Linked DNA regions of Arabidopsis thaliana. The protein of the gene in region 2 interacts with the protein of the main gene of each other region in a pairwise test. Each region holds a gene or a part of one and is shown on either strand. Other genes may lie near its edges.

Evidence for each region.
Region 1: the proteins of AT1G05640 (region 2) and AT3G26110 interact in a protein complementation assay, tested with the Arabidopsis thaliana proteins (one large-scale study listed by BioGRID).

Annotation. Positions count from the first base shown.
Region 1 is NC_003074.8:9,539,535-9,542,758, reverse strand, and holds AT3G26110 (Anther-specific protein agp1-like protein), read right to left. Parts: upstream 1,277-3,224; 5' UTR 1,187-1,276; coding exon 800-1,186; 3' UTR 595-799; downstream 1-594. Other genes in the region: AT3G26115 (Pyridoxal-5'-phosphate-dependent enzyme family protein), read right to left, coding at 1-234, 384-458; AT3G26100 (Regulator of chromosome condensation (RCC1) family protein), read right to left, coding at 2,610-2,852, 2,950-3,224.
Region 2 is NC_003070.9:1,688,241-1,691,999, reverse strand, and holds the start of AT1G05640 (Ankyrin repeat family protein), read left to right. Parts: upstream 1-2,044; 5' UTR 2,045-2,498; coding exon 2,499-3,102; intron 3,103-3,201; coding exon 3,202-3,611; intron 3,612-3,694; coding exon 3,695-3,759. Other genes in the region: AT1G05650 (Pectin lyase-like superfamily protein), read left to right, coding at 1-311, 732-1,021, 1,170-1,398, 1,509-1,736.

The DNA.
Region 1 (3,224 bases), on a different chromosome or scaffold from region 2:
AGGATGTAAAAGATCATCTCTAAGAATGTAAAAAGAAGATCCTTGCTTCGACTTCGACATTTCATCTCCGAGATGTGGACGAGTGTTGTTCAAGAAGGAGAATTTATCGATTCCTTTGACAGAAGAAACACTAATCTGCTGAATTGGAGATGCAGGACACTGTAATCCCCATTTTCTATCGAGTAATTTAGACACAAACTCTCGTGAATCGATCTCGGAAGTAATGGGAATTCTCTGAAATTGATTAAGACATTATCCCCAAAACGCAATGAAATCAGAAAAAGTTCAGATTTTTTTCTGCAATTGCAAATGGGTATTCTTAGAAGTGACAAAAGGAACGATTTTTAATTGATTTAGATGACGCAGAGAAGAGAAAAGAGAACCTGAGAAGACGAGTGAAAGTGATGAAGATTTGATTTTCCGGTCACCGCCAAAAAAGTTGACCGTTGGACCTTCATTGACGCTTCTCTCTGCAAAATTTCTTCTATTCCGGAGCTAGCGGAGAAGATATGGAGGTTTTTAGACGTGAAAAACACGCGCTTACTCACACGTTGATGGGCTAGGCCCTGTGAGAAAATACGGCCCATATATTGTGGGCTATTTTTGTAAATTTATGAGATGCAGAAATATATTAACCCCACAAATAAAAAACTTTCTTTATATTAGTATATTAAATATGTATCATCCCAATATAATCAATGTTACATCGAAGAAGGGATCGTCAAAATACATCTAAAACAAGAAAATATTACAAACATTTTTATTACAATAGTAATAAGTTCGCGCGCCGATCACAACTCTAGAAAAAGAAGAGCGATCCAGCAACTGCACCAACAACAGAGACAAAGCCAAAAGCTACGGTGGCATCGCTTCCGGAAGCTTCTTTTTGTGGTGGAGGATAGTTAGCGTACGAAGCATCGCTTCCAATAGGTCCGGCGACTGCCACTTCATCATCTCCATTGGCATCATCGGGAGTAACAGCTGCATCGTCGTTGTCAGTTGTTCCAATAGCATTGTCATCAGCTGGACCCTCTGCTATATCACCTCCAATGCCATCGGTTGGAGTTGTAGCGGTGGGAGCTGAGGCGGTGGTGGTTGACGGTGGTTTTTCGTTCTCAGCAGCTGATACGATCACGGCGGAGATAGCGACGAAGAGGAGGAGGAGAGCTAGGTGAAGACGCGCCATTATTTTTTAATTTAGTTATTTAGTAATCCCCAAAAAACTTTTTTTTTTTGAAAAATGTTTTATGGGTATTTTGTTTTATTTATTTATCTTGAATTGTGTAATGAGGGTCTTTGCTTATATAGTTGTTTGATCAAAGTGCTAAGATGACTCAACGCAATTTGAGGTTTTGCCAAAAATATTAAAGGTTGAGGAAAAAATTGCAAATTACATATTATCTTCTACTCCTAATTAAGCTTTTTCTAAATTCTAATCTTATCAAATATAGCAAAAACAATTTGAGAAATAGGATTTTAGATTTTTCTTCGATAGAATATTAGTACTCTAACTAGATTTTGACCCGCGGTATACCGCGGGGCTAGGTTTTTAATAAAATTTGTTATATAAAATGTATATGTAGATATTTGTTTTATTAATATTGTTTGCTTTATTTAGTGTTTAAGATAATATATATATAGATTTTAATTGTCATATCTAGGATTTCATCCGTAGTATATCGTTTCGTATTATTATCGATCAAAACCCGTCATACCATCTAATCATGCACAATGAAATTAAACATATCTAATGGATTTCACTTGTGGTATACCGTCTCGTAATACTATCGACCAAACCCGTCCTACCACTAACCCTGTTCAGTAAAATTAGACATTATTTTGTTATTTTTGTTTTAATAATACTTTAATTTAAAAAATATTTAATTCAAATCAATTTAGAAGTTTTCTTTCAAATATTTATTTAATTGTTATAAAGTTTATATATTATAATATTATAAACATGTCATACCATCTAGTCCTACTATCTAATCATGTTCGGTGAAATTATTTTATTTTATTTTTTTATTAATATTTTTATTAAAAGATTTATAATTTAAATCAATTTAAAGTTTTCTTTCAAATAATTATTTAATTTTTAAATATTTTAACCATTTTGGCAAAAATAACTAGGCCATGGAATAAGAGCATATTCTTTTGAATAAGATTTGCTTTTATTTGATAGTTAATTTTCGCATTGAATAAGCCAGTGGTAACCATTGTAAATAAGTTCCAACTCCATGATTTATTGATGTATATATAAATGTAAATCACAAAATGGCTGCAAAAATGTATATATAGATGTAAACCCAACAAATATGAAAACAGAAAATAAAATAAAAATTTGGTAGAAATTGAATCTGACAATAATTTGATTTAATGAAATTATTTGATAATTATTAACAACATAACCTAAAACTTAACCAATGAACAATTAGAATAATCTAAAAACCCTATACAATGAAATGTTAAAGACAAGTTTATGTTATTCCCCTTTTTGTACAAGCTTCCAAGTCTTATGAACATAAAAAGCAAACGCAAATTTTCTTGCGTTTTTGTTTCCTTGATGTCAAACGTAGTTTCTTACCAACCAAACCACATAAGTCAGCTAGCTAGCTGAGATCGATATCCACTTTTTCCGGTACACACCTTTCTTTTTGGTTCTTACCAAGCTCTGTTCCAAGCTGACCCTGATCGCCTGCACCAAACGCGAATAGCTTCCCCGATTCCGTGAGCGCAAATGTATGAGCGTTCCAGTATATGGAGTTCGTTAGACTTATCTGGACCATCCGCTCGTTCACTTGTTTTAGCGATGTTACTACCGTTGGACTTAGCACGTTTGCATGTCGATTACCCTGCAACAAAAAATCAAACCAGACATACGACTAAACATAAGTTTAGAACATATAATGTAAGCAAAAGAAACAATGGAGGCCATGGCCAATCACTAACCTGTTCATCAAAGGATGGATGGTGACCGAGACTAGCGGATTCGCCGCAGCCAAACGAGTAAACATCACCATCGTCTGAGACCACAAAAGTAGTGTAGTCTCCTGTTGCGACATGAACTGCTTTGACATGGCTTAGACCTTCAACAACCTTAGGGACTGATTCACACTCCTCGTTACCGTGACCTAAACATCCATATCTTCCCCAACCCCAAGTGCACACTCTTCCATCCTGACCTACCACCGCGGCATGCCAAGCACCCGCTGCAACTACCCTAG
Region 2 (3,759 bases):
CCACAGCAGCATTCCTAAAGGCATGGCAAGGGGCTTGTGGCTCGGCAGCATCAGCCACGGTGGTGGTCCCCACGGGGACATTTTTGTTGAAGGTAATAACGTTTGGAGGGCCATGCAAGAGCAAAATCACATTTCAAGTGACCGGAACCGTCGTTGCTCCGGAAGATTATAGGACCTTTGGCAATTCCGGTTCCTGGATTCTCTTCAACAAGGTTAACAGATTCTCACTGGTCGGTGGGACTTTTGACGCTCGAGGTAGTGGGTTCTGGTCTTGCCGGAAATCTGGCCAGAATTGTCCTCCCGGTGTTAGGGTACATATGCTTCTCCTCTATCTATAGTTATTGTAAATAAAAACAACAATCTGACATTCATACATAAGCGCCACCAGAATGCAAAAGAGCAACAAATAGCTTTAATCATTATTGATTAGTAATAACTAAATAAGTCAATATATTTTTTTTAATAGTCAAATAACATATCTTTATTCCAATCATTTACTTACGATTAAAAAAAAAAAGGAATTAGTTGATAGTTTTCAACTATATTAATTCAGGCACATTTAATTTTCAATATGATCTATCCATGCCATTTTTAGGAATTTATTTTATAAGCATATAATAACTATTATGATAATGATTTTTGGACAAGGAAATGGATTCTTTGGTCAAAATAAAATGAAATATTTATAATCTTATTATTAATCTATGGCGTTTATATATTAATTACTGTAGTCAATATCGTTCAACTCCGCAAAAGACGTGATCATAAGTGGAGTGAAATCGATGAACAGCCAGGTTAGCCATATGACCCTCAACGGTTGCACCAATGTGGCCGTCCGTAACATTAGGCTGGTGGCTCCCGGAGACAGCCCAAACACTGACGGCTTCACCGTTCAGTTCTCCACTGGAGTCACATTAACCGGAAGCACCGTTCAGACCGGAGACGATTGTGTTGCTATCGGTCAGGGGACCCGCAACTTCCTAATTTCCAAGCTTGCTTGTGGCCCAGGTCACGGGGTTAGGTATACACCACCGTCTAATTCCTTAGAGTAAATTATGTAAATATATCATTAATTGTTAGGAATCATGAATTTCCAACAAAAAAAAAACTAGCAATATTGCCTTCACTCACTCTGGTCACAACTCATATGATGATGTGATGACTGGCAGCATCGGGAGTTTGGCAAAGCAGTTAAACGAAGACGGAGTAGAGAACGTGACAGTATCGAGTTCGGTATTCACCGGATCACAAAACGGCGTGAGGATAAAGTCATGGGCGAGGCCGAGTACCGGATTCGTTAGAAACGTCTTCTTTCAAAATCTAATCATGAGGAACGTCCAAAACCCTATCATAATCGACCAAAACTATTGTCCGTCCAACCAAGGTTGCCCTACTGAGGTATATCCATATCATATTTTTGATCAATTTCAGACTAATCAAATATGCTATATCAAATTATCAACTTAGTCAAATAACTAAAGATTTATTATGTTTATGGTATGTATTAGCATTCGGGGGTGAAGATAACCCAAGTGACGTACAAGAACATACAAGGAACTTCGGCGACGCAGGAAGCAATGAAGCTGGTGTGTAGCAAGAGCAATCCATGCACGGGAATCACATTACAAGACATAAAGCTTACTTACAACAAAGGAACTCCTGCTACTTCCTTGTGCTTCAATGCTGTTGGGAAAAATCTTGGTGTTATTCAACCTACTAGTTGTCTAAATCGATGAATTTATTTGGGGTTAAGATGATATCACTGTGAAATGTTATTAGGAAACTGATTTTTCAAATAGTTTTCTGTAACAAGGTATATGATCACCAATTTCTGTAACATACAATTTTTTTTTTTTTATTAATAAAATATTATTTTCAGTAACCAACAAAGTGGAAGACTTTGACTTGTTGTCACCATCACATTGTGCTTTTGCTTTTTGGTCTTTGATTTGGACAACAAAAATATAAAGAAATTAGAGAAAAGAAGCTTTAACTGGATATAAAGTTTTAAACTGGAGATAATTGACATAGTAATTAAGAATTTGTTGCTTCAAAACTCAAAAGAAAAAGTAATCACTAATATTACTAAAGATTTTGGAAGTTTAGCGAAATTAATAAAGAAAACAGCTGAAGATGCAGTCACTCATCACAGTCTCTCTCTCTATCTCTATATCCTGAGAATCTTACATGATTTGCCCACAAAAAGCATTGAGATTTACAAATCAATCTATTGGGTTTCAGCTACACTCTACTGAAATCAGCTGCAACCTTTTTTTTTTTTCTCTCTCTTCTTTCATCACATCGGTTTGAATCTTTACAAGAAATCTGGAAATCACAGGGAAGTCAGGGTTTTCCATTTTCAAGCTGGTTCTGTTATTACGAAACACGGGTTGCTGGAAAAGAGCTCACGGATTCTTCAAACAAAGTTGGCATCTTTCAGATTTGGGAGAAAAAGTTGTTATTCAAGATCTTTGTGTAATCTAAGGGAGAAGCATACCATGAGTTCTCTGGTTCCTGTTATGGAGAAGCAAGAGAGCGTTCGAGGTAACTCTGTGGAGGAACAGCAGAGTCTCAGATGCGTTGGTGCAGAGAATCAGGTGAGAAAGGGAAGAGCTTTGGACAAGCAAGTTAGTTTCCTAGCTGTGAATGTTGTTGAGAAACATGGAATCAAAGGAAGAGCAATGGAGAAACAGGAGAGGGCAATGGAGAGGCAGAGAAGCTTTCGTGGGTTTGTTGAGAAGCAGAAAAGCTTTAGGGTAGTAATGGAGAGACAGTTAAGTTTCATGAATGTTGGTGGTGAGAGGAAGAAGAAGACTGACTCACCTGGTAAAAGAGGAGATTCTCCTCTTCATCTCGCAGCTCGAACGGGGAATTTGGGAAAGGTTATGGAATTGATTCGAGCTTGTAACGGCATTGAAGAGTTGAAGGAGTTGTCATCAAAGCAGAATCTAGAAGGAGAGACCCCTCTTTATAGTGCAGCAGAAAATGGGCATTCATTAGTTGTTGAAGAGATGTTGAAACATATGGATCTTGATACTGCATCAGTTAAAGCTCGCAACGGTTTTGATCCTTTCCATGTCGCTGCAAAACAAGGCCATATTGGTAAATGAAACTTTAGAGAATCTGATAATAACTTGAAGACCTTGTTATTGTTGTACACCTTCTTGACATATATCTTTGAATGTGTGCTGTCTTTTGCAGAGGCATTGAAGAAATTGTTGGAGACATTTCCGAATCTGGCTATGACGGTGGATCTATCGTGTACAACTGCATTGCACACGGCTGCTTCACAAGGACACACTGATGTGGTGAATCTTCTTTTAAAGACGGATTCTCATTTAGCTAAGATAGCTAAGAACAATGGTAAAACCGCACTTCATTCTGCAGCGCGAATGGGGCACAGAGAAGTGGTTAAGTCTTTGATAGGTAATGATGCAAGCATCGGGTTTAGAACTGATAAGAAGGGACAAACAGCGCTTCACATGGCTGTCAAAGGTCAGAACGAAGGGATTGTTCTTGAGTTGGTGAAACCTGATCCTGCGATTTTGAGTGTTGAGGATAGTAAAGGGAATACGCCGTTGCACACTGCCACAAACAAAGGCCGTATTAAGGTATCATCATCGCTAATTCCCCCTCCCCTCAGTTTCTCAATCTACAAGAATTCTGATGAACTGCATTTTGCCTTTGCTTGCAGATAGTGAGATGTTTGGTATCATTTGATGGAATTAACCTTAATGCTATGAATAAGGCTGGAGATAC